2 linked regions of the Schizosaccharomyces pombe genome follow. The protein of the gene in region 1 interacts with the protein of each later gene in a pairwise test. Each region holds a gene or a part of one and is shown in the gene's direction. Other genes may lie near its edges.

Region 1 (12,613 bases):
AAAATATCGTGTTTTATTACCAAGATTGATGAAAATATTTTTGTTAAGTTGCTTGGGGAGCCGTTAAACCCAGCATGCAATGCCATGTGGGTATAAAGGATAAAATAATATACAACTAATAAACAAAATTAATTTTACAACTTTTTCGTTTTCGAAAGCTCCTTGAGTGACCAATGAAATGAGTGATACTACAGTTTCGAATAGCTCTTAAAATTCACAACGAAAGTACTAAAGTACTATAAGGATTAATTAAAATACAACTTTTAGAAAGAGTATTTGAATTAACTTTTTCCTCGTCTACCATACCTATAATCTCTAATTTGCTATAATAACTGTTAACTTAATTTAATTTACTCGTTGTACCTTCAATGAGGAAGTTCAGAGTTCATAGCAGAAATCCCTTTCGTTCATTGTATTTTAAAACCCTCTCTTTTCTTTTGTAAAATATTCTCTATTCATCCCATGTGTGTTACAGTTTCAATGGTGATTACAGACAAGTTAGAGAGCCCAAAATCTTCAGTATATAACTTGCTGAATTGCATAACAAAGGGCTTTATAATAAAAAGATTTCCAATACTTTTTAAATGCGACTGGGCAGCTGTACAATTGAATGTTCAGCATACCTAGTGCCTAGTGTAAACATTTATCGTGAGAAGACAAATTCGATGCGGTGGAAATCGTAAAAAGGGCAATCATAAATACAAAGAAAAATACAAAAGCATATCTTTTTTAAAAAAAAAGAAAACTTAGAGTAGCATTGGTTTTAAATAGTTGTATGACTTGTGTTCAATTGCGCGCTTCGTGCTTCCGATCACTAGCACACCAAGAAAGTCTCTTGTTTCATTTTTAGTATAATCTGTTACATTTATCACGTTTACTTGTTATTGAAGCAGCGGCCGTATAAATCACCTCTACAAGTCTAAATATACTCGATATTATAATAATCATAAATAAACCTTGAGCTAGAATACTTTTTAACCTTATATATATAAGTACATAAGTTCAAGCTCTCATTTTGGTCATAATAATGATACCAACCTGTTTTGTAACAACCTTAATAAACATAAAAGCATTCAATTCCTAACAATTATATAAAGAGCACAAGAAAAGTGATGCTCAAAGAATTTTACTTGCCAGAAATTAAAAGTTACCATTATCGCTTTTAGCTTCGGCGGTCATAGTGAGCTTGGAAAAGTTCAGCATCCATGAGAGTAAACGATATTGCCTACTCATTAATAAATATAGGAATTTAGCAATTATATAATATATTGAAAAATAAATAATTTATGCTTTCAATGCCTTTATTTTACTTTTTATAATGGAAATACCATTTGTTATAAAATTCCAAACATTAGGTAACACACATTACCAAGTAACAATATGGGGATTAGTGTCGTTTCGAGCGTATCTAAAGTCTTAAGTAAATCAAGTCAAAAACTGGGTTGTTCAAATATCTTCGAAAACGCGATAATTCACGCGTTATTTTTTTAAAAAATAGACATTCATATACATTTTTATTATAAAATTTAAAATTTACTGTATCTTTGGATGCCCGGAATTTTCATTAGGAAGCGCGACTCGACATTCATTTCATGCTAGCCAAAGATTTAACCCACCAACAACACAACACATTCTTCATCGATATTCCCCTATAGAATACGAATTGATTGTCAAAGTGTTCGTTCGTTGAAGGAGGAGGAACTCTTGAAGCTACGAGACCCAAGCCATTGTCTCCCCTTCGCGAACAATGATGGAAAAGTCTCTGAACACGGTAACGTCTTTACCTCGTATGTCTTGCTTTTCCAGCTAAATGGCTTTGCTCTTTAGCTCTTCATTTGTCTTTCATAATTTTATTCATTTTTTCTAATGTTTGTCTGTGTTTAGTTCGTGTTATTTATTGTATTGATCGCGCATCCGCGATTCGCTGTTTAGCAAAGTCTCAACATGCTGTGCCCATTCAGGTGCTGAAGGAAGTGGAACCGAAAAAAGTGATTTGCCAGGTAGACATTCAGCATGTTATACAAACAGTTTGCCGCTGTAGTCCTGAATTGAGTTGCAAATCACAAGGTGATTTTAGCGTGTATTTTTTAGACCATACGGAACCAGATGAACTCTTCGTCGGACTAGGCTATTGGTCTTCTTTGTTGTTATCTCCTACTCTTAATGCTGGCACGTCAAATTCCGACACAGTTTGGGTGAATGGGTTTATTGTAGAGTTCGGTATTCAACGGTCCATAGAAATCAAGTTGAGATTCCAATCCTTGCAGAACTCCTTCGAGGTTGGAACTCCAGAAACACATACGTCTTCTAAATTTTTATCTTCCACTTTACCTCCATCTCTTATATTTGATCCATCATCTTCCGAAAAATCCGATTCTATTTCTGGATCTTTGTTTGATACGAACTATACATGTCCTGTCAACATAAACGGTCTTTCCAAACAAAAGTCTGTCCGCGAATTAAAATCTCCTTCACGTCCCTCCGCATTAGCTGAAACAAATGTTGAAGAGCTTGAGTTAGATTCTTTGTTCCATGCGTCAAATGACATTTCATGCTCTGCAACTTCTTTCTCTGAGCCATACATACTCGATCATCAAGCGGCGCTTGACCATCCTGCTACTGACCCTGTATGTTCTGCGTCGTCTACTACTGTAAATTCTGCAGTAAGCACAAAAAAACGCCGACGTGAAAGTAGCACCATTTCGCCAGAGTCGGCTTATGTTGCAGCTCAGCTACAAAATCCATCTGAACGTGAACAAGTTCATGAATTTATTAAAGAACAAGTTCGAATAGCTCGTGGGCGCATTGAGAAAAAGTTTACCAATGTACGTGGGAAGAATCGAATTGAAGAACAACTTACCTTGAGCTTGCAAGAAGGGAAAATTCCACCATATTGTCAAAACTGTGGAACCATCAAAACTGCCAATTGGCGCAATGCTACGTACATGAACATAACTTTGATGCTTTGTAATGCATGTGGTATATATTGGACGAGTCGGCGCTCGATGCGTCCAAGAAATTTATGGTCTACCTATAAAGCATTTGAAACAGAGAAACCGTTGGAAAATGATGCATTTGCTCAGCTTGAGTTAGCCGTATATAAACTTTCCCAGCAACGAAAACTATCTATATCCATCTTCCGTGAGCTTGAAAATGCAGGACGGCACTCTCCTCTGAATAGACTTACGTCTTTAGACTCAACACACTCTGCACCTGATCCCAATCATATCTCAAAACCCTCTGTTGTTAATCAGCAGAAATCCAGAGGAGGTCCCCGTACTGCTAAGCTGAAAAATGACCTCAGACGCATACAATCATCTCCCATTGTTGCACCTACTCCTGATACATCATTTCGTGAGCCTTTATCCGAAATTGGGTCTAATGATAGTTGGCTGGTATTACCAAATTCACTAAGTGCCAATATACAAAATGATGTTTTAAGAAAAACTGATTTCATGTGTACTGACAAGGAAAACGTCGCTTTTCCTTTGAAAACCACAACAAAGCCTATGCCTAAAGTAAATAAAGAAGAGACAGAGCCAACTCTGCCTGTTTGCGATTCAGAAAAAGAAAATGATGATTTAGAGTGCTATTTCAGAACCCCTCCAAAACCAACTACCTTACAAAAGCAACAACAAAGTCCATCACCCTGGAGGTCAGAGTTATTTTTGTCTGACCCTGACCAAAACGTATTGACACCAAGGCATAAGCCAAAGTTTGATTTATCAAAGGCATTGTCTTCGGTTGCAAAATCCAATAACATTGAGAATTCACCTCAATTACCAGAAAGATATGATTTTTCTTTAGAATTGGGGTTGAATTCTCAACTCGATAATGAAGAAAGACGCGATATTCCTCTGATGACAGATTTGGTGATGCCAAGTAGTCCGCCCATGGTCCCTGCTGACAGGCATTTATCCGTTGAAAACACTTGTTGAAAGAGCGATAAAGGCGTACCTTTGCTTCACACATTACCCTTGTTCTTTAATTTTTTGTTTTATCAAGAAGTCATGTGTGATCAAAATTGACATCTTTCATTATTCGAGTCTTCTTGCTTTTTTATGATTTTTATTTTGATAATGACATCCTTAATTCGTTTTCTTAACCGCAAAAAAATGATTGTTGCTGTTAAAGTCCTTACTGCGTAAGAACTCCCAAGGCATGTCCCCTCAAATCCGTCCTTCGTTCTTTTTATTTCTAAAGCAATTTATTTTATTTTCTTTCATACCATGAGCCGTTATTACCTCCCCCTTGATTATTAAAATATTTCAAGTCGTTGCTTATTGTTGGCGGCATAGCCAAGAGCATGCGACAAGCATTCTATAAATCTTGTCGCAAAATAGAAGTTGGACACTATTTCTTTTAATCTTCTCAAATGTTCTTCGACTTCATCTTTGAGGCTCGGTTTATGGAAATTTTGGATACTTCGTGATAGTTCTGTCTGTTTTGCTTATACAAACAAATTATAATTTCATTAATTGTATTATGAAAGCCGATATGGACAAAGCCACATCCTTATTTTACATACGGAAAAAGTTACTTTTAATTATTTATATGAACACTGTTATTCTTGTTAGCATGTTTATGTTGCGAAACGTTTCTAATTGATTATTATGGGTAGACCGGATAATTGATATTTAGCAAATTCACTAGACGAACACATGACAAATTTTTTTCAGTAATGCGAACCAAAGTCACGCGAAAGCAAGTGTAAAAGTCGAAGGATTTCAATACATGGTTCAATATTTTTGTCTAGAATAAATCAAACGTTTAGTTCATATATTCAAAACAACAGCTTATTGCTGCTTACTATTTCTAATTTTCTAATAGCCTTTTGTTAGCATTTTTGTATTATAATGTAGTTCAATGCAGAGCGGATAACGGTTTAGTGGAAGTTAACCTAGTACGTAAAAATGATTTCCGAAGATCTCGGTATACCACGCGTGACGTAAATGCCCGAGTTTATTAGCACTGACTGACTTAACAAGTTTATACTTACGCAGAAACCCAAGGAAAATCGGTGTTTCTCGTATATACTATACAATCAGCAATTTTATACCTGATATTATAATTGAAGGTATTTAGTTAATTTGAAAAGCAATTTTTTTGTCGGTACTGAAGTGTTTGAACGAATATGAAGGGAAGCCATCCAAATGCAGGTTCCCTGTTGGAACCACTTCACAAGTTGAACCCATTTTCTGAAAATTCTACAAGTGGACATCGAAAAAACGCTAGTGATCATTCGGCGGATGGAGAAACTCGACCGATTGCAATTGAGATGAAGGATAGTAAAGGCAACACAGTCCCAGTTGGTAACTCGCGCCCTAGTAAAGCCTCTAACTGGCTTGCTGGACTGATGGAGGATAAAAACCAAAGATGGCGTAGGTCTATGGAGGATACTCATATTTGCTTGTATGATTTTGGGGGTAATCAGGACGACGGCTTCGTTGCCGTTTATGACGGACATGCTGGCATTCAAGCATCTGACTACTGTCAGAAGAATCTTCACAAGGTACTTTTGGAAAAGGTTAGGAATGAGCCGGACCGGCTGGTCACAGACCTAATGGACGAAACATTTGTCGAGGTCAACAGCAAAATTGCAAAGGCTACTCACAATGACATTTGCGGTTGTACCGCTGCAGTTGCTTTCTTTAGATATGAGAAAAACCGCACCCGCCGTGTTCTCTACACAGCTAATGCAGGTGATGCACGTATCGTATTATGCCGTGATGGTAAGGCTATTCGACTTTCTTACGATCACAAGGGATCCGATGCCAATGAGTCTCGTCGTGTGACCCAGTTGGGTGGTCTCATGGTACAAAACCGAATTAATGGCGTTCTTGCTGTCACAAGGGCCTTAGGTGATACCTATCTTAAGGAATTGGTCAGTGCGCATCCCTTCACCACTGAAACCCGAATCTGGAACGGTCATGATGAGTTCTTCATTATCGCTTGTGATGGCTTGTGGGATGTAGTATCGGATCAGGAAGCTGTCGACTTTGTTCGCAATTTCGTAAGCCCTCGCGAAGCCGCTGTTCGCCTGGTAGAATTTGCATTAAAACGTCTTAGTACAGACAATATCACTTGTATTGTAGTTAACTTGACTCGCAATCCCGGTGATCTCGATGATTCAGGACTTACCGCTGATAATGATTCATACAGTAATGACTATTATTAGGTATTTGATGGATTCAATGATGTGCTTTCTGTTGTTTCGTAACGGTTTTTCGATGTCTTTACCTCATCCACAGTACTTGTTTGGAAGCCGGAATGACTTAATCCTATTTTTTTGTTTACCAAGCACTGTAATTGCATCGATTCTTTTCCTTTATTTATGGACCTTGTATTCTCATTTGGACATGGTTTTCCTTTGGGTCGACTTATTTTTTCTAATTAATTACTCTTCTTTTTATAAACCACTTTGTGCATGTTTCTCTTGTTCTTCTTTTTTGTCTAAAAGTAATGTGTCTAAATATCGATCCTAAATCTGTCCAAATCTAGTTTCTTTTTTCTTTTTTCATGATTTGCTACCTTTTCCTCCAATCTGCGTGCCACTGTTCGAATCAATCGTATATTCATCATTAGCCCTCTTCATACCCATTTAAAGGTACAAACATTTCACTCTTTTTAAGGTTCTTCGTGAGTGTTTTCGGTATTTTTATTTACAATTGCTTCGCAAATATTATGAATGTACTTGCGTGCATGCATTGGTGTTTATAACAAAGGCTATACGTTCACCAAAAAAAATTTATTTTACCCTTTTATCGTCTTTAATTTTCGATTTAAAAGTCGAATTATAATTATTATTCTGAAGTTACGGGTTGTCTTTATTTTGTCCCGTTCCTGCTAAAATACCATTTGCACGTAAAAATATATATACATACACTAATTGTACCAAGTATTCGAGATTTTAGCATTGGCCTAAACATAGGAAAAAGACAACGCTTTTCTACTTACTGTCTCAACTCTAGTTTTCATACATAAAGGTGCAGAGCAATACAATCAAATGATACTCACCGGATAAAGACATGCAATTGTTTTTTATAATTACCGTTTATAGGTTTTTTGTTGAATGATCTGGAAATGAATGACTATAGTAATAGATAATAATACATGAAAAAAACATTGACAAATTGAAACAACCACGTTAAACCGATCATACATAGCTGAACTGAAGTCAACTCAACTCATTTTGTCATGGTGAAGTCAAAGTTCTCACCAAACAAGTCATTTATGCTTTCAGTGGTTGGAATGTCTGTAGGAAGATTTAGAGCGTTGTCAAACGTATTAGTTAAATGCGAAGCAAAGCTGCCATCATTACCGAACGCAGCACTGTAGTTTTCTTGTGCTTGCAAGTCAATTCCCATTTGCTGGTTAGGAAACAAAGAAGCCGATCCTGCAGTACTTTTATTTTCAGAAGATGGGGAGCCAAACAAATCCAAATTACGGGAAAGAGCTGAATTGGAAGTACCAAAGTTGTCTTGCGGAGAGGTAGAAGAATTTCCAAATAGATTCGGTAATAAAAACTCACTGGCCTGCAGATGAGCATCTCCCGATGCATCCGTATTCATTCCAAATTGGAAGGAATCGTTGTCTCTTAAATAATTAGAAAAGTTTGAGCCTCCAAATTGCTGAGATGCATCCTTTGTTACGTCTTGATCATTTACAGTTGTCTTAGGTGGCATATTTGGATCTGCTAAAGTCCCATTAGTTGTTTTTGGCATCCTATCAGGAAGCTGGATTGATGATTGTTGGTTCAAGTTACCCAGTAACTGACTTTCGCTTAAAGAAACCTCTCCCGGTTTCGAAATGTTCTCAGAATCAAAAGAGGAAGTGAAAAAGTTATTGCCCGAGGGCAAAGATACATTGCCTTGAAGACTGTTTGCTCCAGGTGGAGTAGCGCTCACGAAAGACGCGAACTGAGATTTCTCCTCTACCTCTTTTGCTTCCAAAGATCTTAAATCGCGCTCAACAACACGTTTTGCTTCAATAATGCGTATTTCTTCCAAATCGCAATAATCCTGGAATTTTTGACATGCCGCCTGCAACTGACTATGGTAAAGAGCATTGGGAACATTAGCCAAAAGGGAACGAAGCAAATACCCTACATTTAAAAATATTTCATCCAGTGCTTCACGAAGGGGCGTATTAGGTTCTTTTACTCCATTGGACTTTTGTTCACCTTCCGCATCCATGGAAGGAATAACAAACAATGGGAGTTCTATGCAATCACAAAGCTGAATAGATCTGAACAACCTTTTAGTTAAATAGGATGTTCAAACTTTTGTGAACCAGCGAACTCTGCCCTAGAATTCGCGTTCGCGTACGTAGCTTGTGTTTGGTGGTGAAGGTTGAGGCTCCTCTATATGTGGTAAGATTTCATAGTTCCTTAACGAGTTTCAACGCAATTCTCTATGCACCGTCTCGTAATCACAGTATAACAAGCAATAGCAAATGTTCATTGAATTCCTAATAGTAGAACGGAAAAGGGGATGCTCATTCGTGTAACCATTCAATATAAATTGAAACGAAGTTGCCTGTTCACACTAGAGCTTTGAAATATCATCTTTAGGAAAGAAGACGCATATTTTACGGAAACGTACAATGCACAAAGTTAGACGTCTTCTTGAAGAGCAAGAGGAAGTGTAGGTTGTTTACGTTTCGATGTGACAAATCTTTGGACATAACGGCTGTCCAACAGCTTGGAGAAAAACATATAGCTAAGGATAAAGTAAAGACAAAATCCTGCAACGATTACATATGCAAGGTGACGGTTAGCCCAAAGGATAATGCCTGCATCGTTATTATGCCATGACGATCCTTCATAAAAGGTGAAATAAGAGTCGTTGGAAAACTTGTAATCCCTTTCAAGTAAAACACGAATGTGGTCGTAAAATGCGGGTGGGTTGGGTAGTTGTCTTTTGTACTTTTCCCAGAGAAAGCTGATTGAAAGGGGACCGGTACTCAACATGATAGTCAAGTAGGGAAGCCAATATGACTTCGCATTTTTTTCGAGGTTTTGAATGATCAGTTCGAAGTATGGATGATGAGGAACACTTCCCATAACATCGTTGGAAACGCCTACAGGGTCGGTCCTGCGAACCCATACGGGATAATAGAGAAGACTATCTAACCGTTGACGACATCCATCGTCCAAATCAATGTAATTTCCTCCATAATGATAAAGAACGAAGTACCGAATAACATCCGCTCGTTGAACATTGAAAGGGTAAGCATCGAAGTATGGCAAAAACCAAGGATAGTTATCAGCAATGAAATTACGAGACATTTCATCAGTCCAAAGGATGTATTCGTAATCTGGGTGTAAATCTATGCAGCTCTGTTGAGCACCTTTCCATCCTTCAGGCACTTCTGTGGTTTTCCAGGTTTGATGAATGATTTTTGGAATAACAGGTTCCCCTGAAATATCGTTCAAGGAATCAAGTTTCAAAGTTGGCAACGGTTCATCTTTGGAAGGAATTGAATCATTAAGAACTTGGCGTAAATATCTTAGTTCTTCGGAAGGAATGATGTCCTTGGTACATCTGTCTGCAAACATCAAGAATTCATTGTTGAAGTAAAGAACGATGGAACTCATCAAGAAAAAGTTGACGGCAGCAAAAACTGCAAATTTATATATGACTTTCACCATCCTAACAGTTTTCTAATATCAACAATGGGTTAACAGCAGAAGGGGCAAAAGTATTTTTAAAAAGATTTAGAAGGTTTGCACTTGCAATCCGAAAAACGATAGAGTGTAATGTATACAGTAATGAATGGAGAGACGAACTTGTTAGCAACGAACTATAGTCCAATTCTAATGGAGACTGTTCTGAAGAAAGAGAAAACGAAAATGGAAATGCTAATCTAAACAACTAGGGAGTAAGTAATCCTTAGAAAGCTTCAAATGCTCGTGACAGTACTAAATGCAATTTTATAAGGATGAATCAAGAAAAACGTTTTGTTTTTCAAAAGAGAAAAACAGAGGAACTTTTTTTTTTACTTTTATGTTTATTCAAAGTGGAAGAAAGATATTACCCTTTCAAGACTTCAGAATAGTAAACAAAGGCTTCAGATGATGCGAAATTTTGAAGTGATTGCTATTATTAAAGGAGTTTTGCTTGATAAAATAATAAATAAAAGCCACTCTGTCTTTGTGTTCAGGCATCACCATGACGATAAAAAAAATCATGCTATTATTTTTTTCGTTTACACTGAATCTTGAAGGCGTCTATATAAAATCATACGAGAAGAAATTGACCAAAACTAACATTTTGTAAACATAAAAAGAGTGATATTTTGAAAGGCTTGATGTAAGGAAAATTTGGTAAATAACAGCCATGTAAAACGGTTTAATCTTTTTTGATGGATCTTTGAAAAAATAAGTTTCCACAATCACAGACTGTAATGTGAATATGATTTCTTAAAGATTTTTAAACTGCGAATTTTTTTTTTGTTGTAGTAAGCGGCGCATTAATCGATTTCAACTGTTGCAGTTGCCTTTAAGAAAGTATTTTAACTTTAAGCCCTTCTCACATTAAAGGAAAGACATACATGCATGCCCGCGTCTCCTTAATCAATACAAGTCGGTTTCCCCACAATTTTTTTTCTCAATACACTTTTTAGATTTCGCACCGAGGTGGCGAAAGAAAACCAGTCATAAAAGGTCCGAGGTTACAGTGTGCATTATTACCAATTTTCCGCTCGTTGCAGAGGAGTGTTTGATAGCTGAGCATTGTTCACTCCTAGGAATCGAGACCTTGGAGAATATCCCTTCGGCTAAGCCATGAATGTTACCACAGTGACTCTGGAGGGTTGTTCGCTTCTTGTTGGTAATGTGCTTTAAGCTTGATTTTTTGCATGTCTGTAAACAATGGAGCAGACAGCTTGATCATCAACAAGGGAAAGGTTTCCACGTTTGCGGTTCCAAGGAGGTTGATTTAAAGTCGATGAATATATGGAGATCGATTTACTCAGTTTTTCGATTAAAAGAATACTCAACCTGAGCGCATTCATTCATATCTACAGTCGATATTTCAGACCTGACACGTTTCTTTGTTATTAAGTCAATTACCATTTTTGTATATTAACGGCTGATTTAGCTAGTAAGCAATCGATAACAATGTCTGTAAAGAAGCCATACAAGCATCCTAATTGCACAAGTGTTATTCACATTAATAGAGTAGCTATTGTTATTGAACAAGAAAAAGGCAAAAAATCAAAGCAAAACTTAATTCCCAGCTGAAAGAGTCAAATATAATAGCCGTATGACTTTTGGTGTTTAAATGAAATTGCAGAATAAAGCCCGTTAGAATCATCGTATATATATATATATATACCTACTAAGAAAAGTGCATGAATGAGCATTTACCATGCATGCATGGAATTAGAATATACTATATTTGTTGTTAAAATAAAAAATAAAGAACTGTGTTATCAAAATCTTGAATGTTTGATTAAAATTTTGCAAAGACCCATTTTAGCAAATGCTATTTTGTGTGTTTACTTTTCACATAACTATTCTTTTTTTCCCTTTAAATGTTTTTATTCCATCATTTGTAATATAAAGACATATAAATCTACTGTTTCTATATCAACTTGACCTATTTTCCTTCTCAGTTTTGCAAATTTGCAACGTTGGTGAATTCAAAGAATTGAGTACGCGAAGATGATGGATTCATTGTGTTTACACTTCCCGGGACTATAAAAATACAGTAAGCATTTACATTTTAAAATTAACTCTAAAAGTACTCGTTTTTGGAGCTTTGAAATTGGACACGTTCTTCTTCTCTTCCCTCTTCATGAGAACACCTCCATTTCGCAATTAATCGAAAAGACAGTTTTTGAAAGATGTTGTTTCCTCTTGGGGTTTTAAAAGTTAACTAACAAGAGGTATCCAAAAGGATAGGACAAGCGTTACTGCAGAATTACTATTCCAGATTTAACCTGCGTATTATGTTTCAACATTAAAAAAAAAGTTCAGCAGAATTAAACAATCGAGTGTGACCTCGTTGTAAGTCTTTAGAAACGATCATCAAGCTTCTTTTCTTTAGACTATATTCACTAGTACATGGATTGACAATCTTGACACTGTACATGAAAATTTCTATCCCAAGCCGTAATTATATGGCTTTAATCGACAAGAATACTTCGTTAACCCCATCATCGGTGTTTCTTGTGTTTCAACCTTTAATGCATTGTTATAAAGTCTTTGATTGGAAAGTTATCACCAGTGTTGCGAACGATGTTAATATATTGTTCTTGTATTAAGCATTTTGCTGCTTCGACCATCGACACACCTCTTCCTTTACTAAATATAAACAACTTCCAGAGTATTTGCCTTCTCTCCATCCTTCATTTCAGCATGACTTTCTTCAAGTCAAGTCTTTGAGCACATATTTCCTTCAGCTCGTACACGTTCTTACAATTGTTTTGTTTGAATATATCCAACACCTCGTTTGCAACAACCGTCGACATGCATCTCCAATGGAAGACCGAAAAGTAAACAAAGCAACATTTTACTTGTTTACCTTTTGTTGCGTCATTATTTGCTCTTTTTAAAATAGCTTTGATACCTCGTTTACCACCGTGGATAAAATTTTGTCTGGCTTAT
Region 2 (13,494 bases), on another chromosome or scaffold:
AAAGAAAGATCTCAGGAGGCTTATAACACTCTGGCTCGAATCTATCCTACTGCTCACCCTTACGAAATAAAGACTAAGCTCTATTTAATTCAAGAAGGAGTTCGTGATCCTTTTTCAGGATCTAGATGGCAAAAGATTGTGAAAACTTTTAAAGAATTATATTTCAATCCTTCAAATTTCCGTGCATTGATACTGGCTTGCGGACTGCAAGCGATGCAACAACTTTCCGGATTTAATTCATTAATGTATTTTTCTAGTACTATTTTTGAGGTTGTTGGCTTTAACAATCCTACTGCTACTGGTCTTATCATTGCAGCTACTAATTTTGTATTTACCATTGTTGCCTTTGGTGTGATTGATTTTTTTGGTCGAAGAATCTTGCTCCTGTTGACCGTATGGGGAATGATTGCTGCTTTAATTGTATGCGCGGTGGCTTTTCATTTTTTGCCGAAAGACGAGAATGGCAATTATACTTCTGGTCAATCAAATGCTTGGGCTATCGTTGTTTTAATTTCGATGATTGTTTACGTTGCGTCGTATGCCTCTGGACTTGGAAATCTCCCTTGGCAACAATCCGAGCTTTTTCCTATGTCCGTTAGAGGTCTAGGCACTGGCATGTCTACTGCTGTTAACTGGGCTGGTAATCTTGGTATAGGTGCTTCGTTCTTAACATTGATGAGTGAAATAACACCCACAGGAACGTTTGCCCTTTATGGAGGCCTTTGCTTTTTAGGATGGCTTGGTGCACTTTTCTGCTATCCTGATTTAACCGATTATACCATCGAAGAAATTGGGGAGCTGCTTAAACATGGATTTGGAGTTCGTGAAAGTATGCGACATCTCAAACGCGTTCGACAAGAGCGAGCTTGGTCTCGTGAAGATAAAGAGCAAAATAACTAGACAGTCTCTTATTTTCATATTATTTTTTCATCACAGTCACCATTAGGTGAAAACTCATATATTTAATTGCGCTTATCAAATCGAGTAATACTGTTTCATAGATTTTGTATCTTAATATTTATATTAATTGATTACATATATACAAATATCTTGTGCCTTGTGTGCTATATGAACTCCAGATGTTGCCGCTAAAGGGTTGAAAGCAGTTAAGCTAGACTTAAATTGTCCATTCACTTCACGCCGTAAATCTATATTTTTCTTCCTTACTCGTATTTATTTTTTTGATAATAAATCCTTATCTAAAAATAGTACTAAATCCTTTCTTTTTTGAAGACGCGACTTTGAATGTATTCCAATTCAATACATTTTTTTTAACGGGAACATATTTATTGTATCACATATTAGTATTCAAGTTCTTCAATATAATTAGACGGAAATAAACCAATTCGACCAACAGTAGGACTGACGACAAGGCCTTTCCACCACCCGTCCTTTTGTCTATTTAAAACCACTAAAGTATCGTCAACGTTTAAGTCAATTTCTGAGGGAAGTGTAGCTTTGTAAGCATAAAGCGCACGTACTATTAATTAGTTAGTAAAATACTATAAATCATATTGACTTGAGCATTTTATTCAGAACTCACCATAAGCAAAAATGGGAAATCCGTCCGGAGTAATCGTAGGATGAGTAGCATAATATTTTAAAAGCGACTCTTTCTTATCATCTAAATTTACTGGATTCCTGAGAGTTGGTATCGCTTGGACTGGAGGTGGTGCTAATTGAAGGGTAGATGCTGTTGCTTGATTAGAGGGAAAAACTGCAAGTTTCGGTTTAACTATAGGTAATTTGTGCTTCGTAAGTTCTCTCTCATTATTTATATTAAGCGAAGGCAACGTTTTAAATGGGATTTCGGTGCTTTTAGTCTTTTTAGGAAAGTCGTATTGAGAAGGCCATTTGGATCCAGGTTTTTTTGCATCAACAAAAGAAAGTGATGTGCTATTTATTGGAGAAGTTGTGGGAGTTAATTTTTTTGGACTTTGAGAAATAGGAGATGTGACAGTATCCACTGACAAAACTACCCCCCTATTTTCCATCAAACTTTTCCCATCCTTACGATTTTGGTAAGAAGGATAATAGTTGTTCACAAAAGGACTTAATCTAAGCATTGACAAAGCTTCGCTCAGCTGATTATTGCGCTCATCAAGTTCCGCATGTTCTAAAGAGTAAGCAGATATGGGATTTGCCGTACCACTATTTTTTTCAGCAGGTTGAGTAATCTTTAAAGAGTTCGCAATTTCCATATCACTTTTAGAAGGAACTTGCAATTTGTTATGGTACACTGGATTTGTAAAAAGAATAAAATTCTCCATGCTTGTCATTAAAGCAGCAGCCGAACTCTATAACACCGTTAGATTAACTAGCTAGAGAAGGAAGGCATAACATAAAGTGTTATTGGAATCAGAATAATAATTGCATATTTGTTGCTATACCTTAGAAATAGTTTCATTGGAGAATTTATTTTCTCTGTCAACATATTCTTTCATAAACTCTTTAACATGGGTCTGAAAGTAACGGGACGCTTCCAAATGCTTCTTGTTACATTGCATAAGTTCTACGCACACCTGTTTGGTCAAATCATTTAAGGGTGCACATTGCTTAATCGCTTTAATTGATTTCGTCAATTTTGCTAATTTTGCAGCATATTCCAATTCCAATGAAATTCTTTATAAAGTAGATTAGTCAAAGTTTGAAATGAATTATTACACATTTGTGTCAGTTCGAAATATAATAAGGATAACCCATCATTAAAAAAATACTTAAAAATTAATGATTCGAGAGTATCAAATGGAATAAGATGCTTCTCTTCGAAATTAATTTAAGCTTCAACTTACCTTTGTTCAACAAGCTGCTGCCAATTGTTAAGCGCCTCAGTGCTGATTTCTGTACTGTACTCGTTTGAAGAAAACGAATTCATTATGGGGGTATCTCTTTCTTAAGTTAATTCGTATAATTCAGCTTAATGAGACATTCATTGTTTTTTTTTGAGTTGGTAAAGCATGCGACACTGTCAAGTTTCCAACGCGCATTAAATTTGAAGTAACAGAGGTTAATGCTGTTATACTATGCCGAGGGCAGTGTAAAGAATATGCAGAAGCTCTAATTAATGAATTTTTTATATCTATTTATTTATTTATTTATTTATTTTATTTGAATTTATTTTGATATAGGAAATAATGCTAGATTATTGTTGATCTGAAAAACAACTACGGCTTTCCTACTTTGAAATCTGCTAGATAAATTAGTAGATAACACGTAAATTGAATGCCTGTTCTTTTATAGAAATCTATTGTAAAAAAAATAAACATTCAGCTTTTGCCGGGGGGATGTATATCTATTCTCTAGTTGATTCAATTAGTATTGATAAATGACCTTTAAATTTTCTTTGATATACCTTTTCTTACATACATTAGATATACATTTGACATATCTAGTTTCAAACAATTCAAGTAGTATTTTCAGTTTTTTGCAGCTAGCAGACAAAATATACTCAAGCAAATTGCCCACATTAAAGAAATGCTTCAAACCTGTTCCGTTTTATAAAACGTAAGCATACTTAAAAGATTTTTCAAACAATATATTAGCTAACTAAAATGAAACAAATGATTAAAAAATTTGAGCTTCCAATATACTTATCAGAAGCAACTGATAAAACTAAAAAGAGCGGATATCGCATACAGATTTAAAAAAGAAGGACAGTAACATAGATATCAAGCAAATTCTCAAAATGCGCAAGGAAAATAAATAAGTTAATCAAACAAGATCCATTCTTTAATTGTAGATGTTAGAAGCATACGATTTTGGAATACGGACAGTTAACGTGGGTGCCTCCATGTCCTCCGTCTCGTTTCCTTTGCGTAAAGAAAGCGCATGATCAAATTCATTAACAACAAGGGCCCATTCAACTAATGCACGGCTGGTATAGACTAACCTTTTGCCGTTTACTGAAACACCTTTGATGCTTGACAAGGGGCAGCTTATATGATTGCTGTTGTACAGCAACATCTTCGACTGGACAGGAAGAACTCCATGTGATGAGCGCTCTAAGAGAGCGTCATATTTTTCCTTGTTTTTCCCGAGGGAAGAAAGAGGTTGGGATGGAGAGAACTTGAAAACAAACCGGTATTTCAATGTAGATTTTAACATTGAATCAGGATTATCTACCAAATCAGTAAACACATATGAATTCGAAGCAGAAAGAGTATGATGATAAGCAATTTCAGTTTCAGCAGGGAGACCAGATACATTTTTAAAAAGCGACCCAAAAGCTTTTTTCAAACCACTCGAAAAGCTATTTGAAATTGAGACGACATCAGTGACTAATGCTTGAATTGTGCCATCATCTTGTTTATAATTGGAAAGCTCAAATTCGGTACTCTCCGAATTACCATAATTTTGATAATGATTACAAACAATGGTTAACCGCCTCATTGGAACAGGTTCACTGGGTTTTGTGATAGGAGATGCCCTACCGTTTACGAGACATTCTTCGTGGTAAAGAGCTTGGGCTGTGAAATAATGCTTTAAAAGGTTTTTTACACGTAAAGTAACTGTACCTTTAAATTGGAATTCTTCCATATCATCAAGCTTTAAGAATCTCCAACATACAAGGCGCTGAAAATAAGCTCTCACAAGAGGCGACCAATGAAGAAACAATTCCTGGAAAGTATTTTCTTCTAGTAACCATTGCAACGTTACCAATTCTTTAGATTTTATATCTAAATATGGCCAGACAGCATAAATGAAAGTTATACTACGAACAATGGACATATTGTGGGAAGTTGATATTAATCTTTTGGCAACTGAAATCCAAAAAGAAAAATCAAAACGGTGTGAGAAATCGTTAAATACCCCGAAACACTGTTCAACAAGAGAACACAGCAAGAAACAAGATTGAAGATTAAAAGCAGGGGTGTTTTTGGCAACATTAATTAAAACTTGCTCTAAAACGGCTAATAAACGCATCTGCTCTTGTCTGCAATCCCCAATCTTTTTAAAAGCATCTTTAATATGTCCGACAAACTGTTGAAGAGTCGATAAAGTCGTGGCAGTTACAGGCATCTTAGGATTGTATTCTTCCATTGATGGATTTACTTCTGGTAAAGTCTTACATGGAAACTGCTCATGTCCTGTAGGTAACATTAATGGCTTTTTGTCGCTAATATGTATAACCGAAATGGTTAATTCAAGAAGATAAGCATGTAAGCATATGTAACCTGGAGCGAAATATATGACATTATCAGGTAATTCGAAAGAGAATTGCAAAGCTAAAAAAGAATGATAGCATGATAAAAACTCGAAAAAGAATCCACCTGTAGAAGACTTAAAGCGACGCATCCATGCTCGTGTGAATTCAATAGGCTGCCTATTGTAACCTATAGTAAAAGGCGTTGAAGTTCGTTTTGGGTAATACGGATGCATAGTCGAGGAAAATTGGTCAGTAAAAAATGGCGCAAGATACTTATGTGAAATAATCATTATTTTTTCGTCGAAGGATGAGCCCAAAGCATCAATGTACTTTTTCTTTACATCTAATGCGCTCAAGAAATGGTCGGCAAAAAGTGGAAGTTGAAAAAAGGAGAGAACCAAGATACTCGCACAAAATGTCGTTAATGAATACGGCAAGGACTTTTGAGAAAGCAGATGAACTACAAATGTCAATGTATCGTAAAGTATTAATTGGTGTTCCAAGTACAATAAAGCAGAGTGTTCCACTTTGTTCCAACAATGATGCTTGGCGATAGCAAGTATGGCCTTTGTATATGTGATACGTTCTGAAGTAGAAATATTAGATTGTAAACGTCGAAGAATGGATACCCACCAGTTATACAAAGAATGCCTAAGTTTATCCAATTCCGGTTCGGAAACGTTTTTAGTGGTTAAAGAAGCCAAATGTGGTAATAAAAACCCTCTTATAAGAACTACCTTATCAGAATCCTGCTGATTAATAAAATTGATGAATTGCTCGGATAAAGGACACTTTATTGGAGAAACCAGTGGCTCCGAAAGACGTAAGGTAGATTGGACGGCCTTATTTATTAAGCTAGAAGGCGCTATCTCCTCCGCATTAAGGCGTAGGCTTTGAGAAGACAACTGAGAAAAAGGAGAGGTAGAACGAGAAGAGGAATCAGAAGATGATGATGAGGGTGATTCGTTGTAAGGCTCATTTAAGATTGTTGAGGAATGGCTTACTAAAGTGTTTTCATATTTACCATAATCATCTGTAATCGAAAATGGTTCAAAGTTCGAATCAAGGTCGTCAGCTACAAGCACATTGGTTGTATCGACGGGATCATGTTCCTGAATACATTTTACCACAACAGGATAGTTTTTTGTTTGGGAACCCGAATGCTCTTCCTCTTTAAAGGAGGCTGTATTGGGAGGACCCATAATAGCGGCAAGGATCTCATATCGTGATTGAAAGTCACCCATTCAGAATTTCAGAAATGAAGCTAAATGTAAAGAAAAGAATAAGTGTGAAATGCAAATAAAAAGAATATAATTAATCCCTAGATTAAAACCAAATTAATTAACATGAGCCGTGCAATCACCACTAATAAAGAAATGAAGATTTAAAGGACAAGCTATGCAAATGCCAGAAAAAAATGTACCAAATATGCTAAAAGATGCTCAAAAGTTTTTCCTACAGTAGAGAAATTTTGACTTTTTTAATTTTTTAAAAACTTTATCGATAAAAGACAGAGAAATCGGTAACCAAAAGATTCGCGGTTAAAAAAACAAGAAAAATACTTCCGAGTTTAGAATACTTGTATTCTAAAAGAATGAAAAGTAAACAAGTAGAAGATATCTTTAAATTAAATATATGAAATCCGCAATGTAAATTAGCATCCCCAACACTTTCGTTCACACCCAGTGTAGATGCTTGGTTAAGGCTGAGTTTCCGAACCCACCAGCTTGAGGGTATACGGCTACATATGACATATATTTCAGTAGACAAACATAATAAAACCAATAATTAAAATTGTTTTTTTAAGCTAAATGAAAAGACATTTGAAATTTTAAGCTGTATTGTCTTACAGCTTCAACTCAGTGTTCATACAATGCCAATCTCCTTTTGGTAGTTAGTACCCAACAATCGCCTAAACCAAATAGAACCCGCCAACTTACCAAACAAAACGGAATATAAGGACAGAGAATAACTATATGCAACGGATTATAAATAACTGATATTGAGTTTTCTTTTAGATCAAATATTTCAAGTTTAATGTTGGGGAATCGCGAATGATAAAGTTAAGCAATACAATAGGTCAGTATGCGTTTTCGATTGAATGATTCATTCTCCGGAAAGAGTTGGACCATAGATAATGTACAATGGACTCCCCAAAATCTTGTAGCTTGGATTATGGAGCTCAATATTGGACTTAGTGATGAAGCAAAACTATTATTGCCGAACGGAATGTCTTTGAATGAAACCGTACTAAATAGTGAAAGTGATGTGGTTATTTACGTACTAGATCAAAACTTGTTGACTTTCACCTACGATGGTGATAAAATTCCTTCTATTCCTTCTCTGAAAGGACAACCAATATCTAATGTACTTACTGGGATTATAGCTGATTCTTCTTCAGATCAATGGAAAGATAAAATCAGCAAGTGTCTTTCATTATTATCTGATATTTTAGAGTCTTCTTCAAAGATTCATAATCAATTAAGCGTATGCCATGATGAGTATTCTACTAGTATTGTTTCTCCAGAAGTTGCAATGAATTATTTACAAAGAAGACAATCTGGTATGAAAGATTTACTTTTCGTTTTCTACGAAAGACTAGATCGAGTATCTGTGTCTGATTTACTTCATGATTTCCTCGCTCTACCAACTGGTTCTTTACCCATTACTCCTCTTAAAATACTTTCAACAAATTGGACTAAATTGGACTCCTGGTTAAACTCCATTTCAGCTCGTTATGCTGAAGCTCAAAAACGAGTCCAACAGTGCATTGGCGCCGCAAATAGTATTATCGTTTCCCCATTCAAGGAAGTTCCTTCAATCAAGGAAGGAGATGATGCTTATTATCATCTACGTTCCGTCGCTCAGGATGCAGCCAATATATTGCAAGAGATCCTTAAAATAGAGTCAACTTCAACTACTTCTCAAATCAAACCAAAATGTAATTACGAAACCGAAATTACTGATTGCATGGAAAAACTTCAAAGTAATCTGTCGGAATTAAAAAGTTCTAGAAAGTCATCACTAATATCTTTGAAATCTTTTTGGCTTTCCTTTTATAAGGTTTCTCTTAGATATGATGCATTGTACGAATATCTTCGACAAATAGCAGAAGAGCTTGACAGAAGCAAATTCGTTCTTTCTCAGTCTCGAAACATTTTTTCGCTATATATCGACATTTTAATGGAGGCACTGAGGAGGACTGAATGGCAGGAATCATACAATGTAAGCCATGATAGTTCTCTTCCTTTAGACCAGGAGAAGGAGCTTTCTCTTAGGAAGTCTTGGCTCAGTCATTTCTCTAATTTGCTTTTTAATCATGGCCAGCTAAAGTACTTACCAGTTTTAACTCGTGACGAAATTTCTAATTATTTACTCAATATTCAAGCACATCCGAATTACCAAACTTTTCATCAAATGCTAAGCAATCGGCTCTCAGAATATTTGGGCTTTCCTGGAAGTCCTCGAGAAGCCGTTTCCAATACGGTTCAAGCGAACAATTCATTACATGAAAAATTGGCAATGTATCAAAATCGTTGCAATAATTTAGAGGCAATGTTAAGCCATCAAAACGGCTTTAATTATAACATTAACAATGATGGTTTATCTCCAAATGCTCCACATCCACCCATCAATGAGCAGTCTAATTCTTCTCAGCCATTTTACCGTGTTTCCCCTAGTATTGTGCCTCTAAACGTAATTCGTAAATTAACTAATCGCAAAACTTCTTTTACCGACAGCCACATATTACGACTTCAAGATGAGGTTAATCAATTACGCAACGAATTAGATTTGGTAAATAAAAGAAATGAGGACTTATTAATTGAGCTTCAAGGGAAGGAAGAAAAGATCCAATACCTCGAAACTGAAAATGAGGAAGTGCTACAAAAATACGAAAATTTACAGGAGGAACTTTCATCAACACGGAAACTGCTTACGAAAAATGAAGCGGCAGTTGCAGAACAGCAATCAAACGAGGAGATGCATTCTAATGAACCGAACATATTAAACCTTTACTCCGTATTTGAGGGCAAAGTTGATAGCTTGCAAGAACTTTATAATGCTTTCAAGCTTCAACTCACGAGTTTGAAGCAAAAGGGCGAATACGCTACTCTTGCAAAAGATGCCGAAGCAGTACAACATATTATTGAAGAGAGAGATTATGCTCTTGCAGAGAAAGCTGATTTACTCAAACTTTCCGAGAATCGAAAAGAACAATGTAAGATATTAACTCAGAAACTTTATACCATTGTATTCCGGTGTAATGAGTTACAGTCTGTTCTTCGGGAATGCGTTACTCAGCCTGGATTTGATTCAGATAACGAAAGAGATGGCCATGCATCGATTCCAGATCGCCAAATTGAATTTAATTCCAAAGATTTACAGTATCTTTATTGGATGGATGGGGAGGATGCTGATAGGAATTTCCAGGAATTTTTGAACAGAATGAGTTCTTTAGATTTTGACTCTTTCCATAACTTTGTTGTCAGTGTTTTGACTCAAGCACATAATCATGAACTTCGTTGGAAACGTGAATTTCAATCTAACAGGGACAAGGCGCTGAAAGCTATTTTGGACTCTCAAAGTAAAGTCTCATTAAGGAATTTCAAACAAGGATCCTTGGTCTTGTTTTTGCCTACTCGACGTACCGCCGGTAACAAAAAGGTGTGGGCGGCTTTTAATGTTAACGCTCCTCATTATTATTTGAACACTCAACCGCATTTGAAACTTGAAAGCCGCGACTGGATGTTAGGAAGGGTAACTTCCATTGAAGATCGTACTGCTGATGATTCGACGGATAAATGGCTTCGCCTGCCTTCAGGTACAATATGGCATTTAGTGGAAGCTATCGATGAAAGATTTTAAATCATTATGTGACCTAGCTTATACCTTCACTTGCTTTTTCTTTGCTTGTATTTGTGGGACTGATTCTATATGACAGACATTTGGTATTATCATACTTCTATTTTTTCAGGTTTTGATCTGTTATGGCATTATTTACTGAAATTTGTTTTTTGGTCTCGCCTAGTAAGGTATCCGACGTAAATTAACGACTACTATTGCTGTAGCGTGTCTCTCGTCTTGTAACATGATAAATTTTTAATGAACTTTTAATCTATTCGTATATTATTTAATATGTAGAACGCAATCGCTCGCAATAAAAGTGATTTGCAAATATTATTTATCACACCGAACAACGCACTGGTGGTAAGGAGTACCTTATGTAAATTGCTTTGTGTAGTGTGTCCCATCAAAGTACAACCTGGAATTATGATTCCCTCAAAAAATATCCAAAAGATCAAGTTGGTTACGTTCGATGCTTTTGGAACAATCCTTCATTTAAGTAAACCTGTTCCAATTGTGTACAGCGAAGTCGCTCAGAAGTATGGAGTTCATGCAACTATTGATGAAATTGAACACAATAGTAATAAAGGTTAGCTTTTGGTTTCTATTTATCTAATAATTTAGCATTCAAGGATTTCAGTGAAAAGCATAAGAATCATGGAAAAAAGTCAGGATTAAATCCTCATGACTGGTGGATCAAAGTATGTGTCTGAATTTCATTGAGATTTGTGTTTTGTAAAGAATTGAATCTCTTGATTTCTAAAAAACCTTTACATGCTAACAATTTTAGGTTATCGAACATTCTTTTCCAACTCCTGTTCCTGCAGAAATGGCTGAAGAGCTATGGAGTTACTTTTCCAAAAAGACGGGTTACACGATTCATCCTCTTCTGATTGATTTCCTTAAGAGAAATAAAGAAGAGAGGAAATACATTATTGGTATTATTTCAAACACAGACGAAAGAATTCGTACAGTGCTTGAAGATTACGGCATAGATCATCTAATAGATATATATGCGTTTTCGTACGACGTTGGATTTGAAAAACCAAGCAGGGAAATATTTGATTATGCTATGGAAAAGGCTGTTAAACTTCTTGGACAGGAGATTCAACCAGAAGAATGTATGCACCTAGGGGATGATTTAATAAAAGATGTTTCAGCAGCAAGAAACATCCAATGGAATGCTGAATACTGTGACATAAAAACCAATTTCCTGAAATATTTTGAACAGAAGTAAAATAAACGCAGTCAGGTTTACCGCGTATCCAACATTCATATCTGGACCCCTTCTTCAAGGACCTAATGTGACAATAAAGGTTTCACATTTGAAATGATAATTTTTTCTTATAAATGAATATTTCGTCAGAATTCTAATAAATGTATAAATTGATTATATTTTCAACAAAGCTCTGTTGTTCCTTTGTGTACTAGCTTTTGACATTGAAGAAAAATTATATTTATGTGATCCTTTTAATTTTTTAGAGATTGATCTATTGTTGTTTTCATTATACAAGGGCGCAAATAAGTAAACAATGAATATTCCGAAAAGACATGAACATGAAATGGCTAATGCATATGCATGCTAACGAAAATTTAAAAAATGAAGAATATGCCGATAAACGCAATAGCAATCCTTTTTATTTTCTAATTTGAATGACCATTCTAGTCGCGTTATTCCAAGTCTAGCATCCATGCTACGAGAATAATCGTTAGACCAACAATCTAGGGCTCAGTTATGCATTTGCTGTTTTTACGGGTTCAAAATCTATACAGAGTAGCTCACAAAATTCTTTTCTTTAATGGAGTGTATACTCTATTCATAAATATTGAAATTCGAAGAACTGACGCAAACCGAGCAAATTCGATAAAGCATTTATTTAGCTAAAGGGATTTATGCTTTTAAATTATCTAAATTTTATTTAACAATTAGTACTGGCTCTATATTTAATATTTTTAAGACATTTACATATTCACCATTATTCCCTCGAAATGCCAATATGCTGATATAAAGAAATATTTATTACGCTGCACTAGCTATAGTAAGATAAAAGTTGCTTTCTCACATGTATGCCTGCGTTTATAGTCATTCCCTTAAAAAGCAATTATTCTAAACCTTTTATGAAAAATATATTTTGAAGTGCAGTTGAAGCTGGTAGAAGTTGATTTTACTTATTAGCTTATTAGAACTATTACAAGTTACGCTAAATATGTTTTTTTCATAATCCATACTACGCTACATCAGACAAGAGGCGCTTACAGCGGTCGAATGTATCCTTAAGAAGTTCACATTATGCAAATAAACAGCAAATCACAAAATTACTTTAACGAGGGAACTGAAATATATAATGAAACCTTAGTAAAATGTGACTGTCAATGGTGCAAGCTATAAAATCAGCAACTTGTTTATTCTAATATTTGCAATAGTTGTGCGGAAAGCACTTGTGTTCTTAGCAACTGTTTGTTTTATATTTTAGAAACGCTTTTTTAAAAGTAATAATGAGCATTTGATAAAAACACTGGTGCTAATTCATTTCAGTGTCGAATGATTAAATGTATGAATTTTTATCAATCTGTCAATCCCCTGAGATTTTCATTGAAGAGAATATTCATCGAATTATGACGGCATAAAGATACGAATTAAAAGATTAGACTAATGTTCGTTTTTATAAGATGTTAATTTTCAAAAATTTATAGTCGGTACACAAATGAAAAAACTAAAAATTTTGTTTTTTAAAAACCATGAGTAATTAAAAGTGAAGTGTTTAAGCTTTTTATAAAGTTTATTTTGCGTATTAGTAAAGAGGGATCAGGGTTTTCTGTAGTCGGATGTGTATAGCTTCAAAATAGTAATAAGCGGCACGCATACAGCGATTAATGAAGATAGTTTAGTACTAGGAAAAACATTCCATGCGTATTCTTGTAACATCCATAAGCCAATTACTATCGGAGCAGGAAAACTAGCTTGATAGCATAGATATGGTGAATACCAAGCAAACCATGCATAAAATTGATAATGCAGGGATCTTGCACATAATATACCAATCAAATTGGATGTTGCTAATGCAGTAAAGATAAAATTAGGAGTTGCGAGTTGGAGTTTTGGTAAAGGCTTCAAGGTCAGCATGGAGTTTACCATTGCAAATGGTGTTGCTCTGCTCAGTTTATTCCAGTGTTTGCAGGTAAATGCAACTAGCAAAGCAACATGAAGAAAAAGTATTGATGTGGAAAATGATGTAGACTCAAAAATGCTGCGTGGAATGAATCTCCAGTTTACTGTCCACTTATAATCGAATGCTCTGCCAAAATCAAAGGCTTGAGTCCAATACGACCAAAAATAGGCAAGGAAGGGAATAGAAAATAAAATTTGTACAATTATAATAACAAAAATATGCATCCAGGTCTTTTTGGGCCCCAAGATTTGGAGCAAAAGAACTAAATAAGCTGGGACATAAAGCAAGGAGGACATCTTGACAGAACAAGCGACACTTAGTAGAATTGAAGCT

The links.
Region 2: the proteins of ptc1 (region 1) and atg11 interact in a two-hybrid assay, tested with the Schizosaccharomyces pombe proteins (2 studies listed by BioGRID).

The regions. Positions count from the first base shown.
Region 1 is NC_003421.2:1,999,545-2,012,157, forward strand, and holds ptc1 (serine/threonine protein phosphatase PP2C catalytic subunit Ptc1), read left to right. Parts: upstream 1-4,991; 5' UTR 4,992-5,134; coding exon 5,135-6,178; 3' UTR 6,179-6,848; downstream 6,849-12,613. Other genes in the region: GATA-type transcription factor Ams2, read left to right, coding at 1,748-1,787, 1,885-3,938; SPOM_SPCC4F11.03C (uncharacterized protein), read right to left, coding at 7,188-8,195; mannosyltransferase Imt2, read right to left, coding at 8,615-9,652; SPOM_SPCC4F11.05 (uncharacterized protein), read left to right, coding at 10,958-11,057, 11,103-11,245. UniProt on the Schizosaccharomyces pombe protein: Serine and threonine phosphatase. Has a specialized role in the heat shock response. May be responsible for the dephosphorylation of hsp90.
Region 2 is NC_003424.3:2,627,107-2,640,600, reverse strand, and holds atg11 (autophagy associated protein kinase regulator Atg11), read left to right. Parts: upstream 1-7,049; 5' UTR 7,050-7,231; coding exon 7,232-10,012; 3' UTR 10,013-10,153; downstream 10,154-13,494. Other genes in the region: myo-inositol transmembrane transporter Itr1, read left to right, coding at 1-900; sfp47 (SH3 domain-containing protein), read right to left, coding at 1,302-1,480, 1,544-2,297, 2,391-2,622, 2,793-2,875; protein ahk1, read right to left, coding at 3,730-6,390; SPOM_SPAC7D4.05 (hydrolase), read left to right, coding at 10,418-10,580, 10,616-10,692, 10,782-11,228; dolichol-P-Man-dependent alpha(1-3) mannosyltransferase Alg3, read right to left, coding at 12,798-13,494. UniProt on the Schizosaccharomyces pombe protein: Involved in cytoplasm to vacuole transport (Cvt), pexophagy, mitophagy and nucleophagy. Recruits mitochondria for their selective degradation via autophagy (mitophagy) during starvation.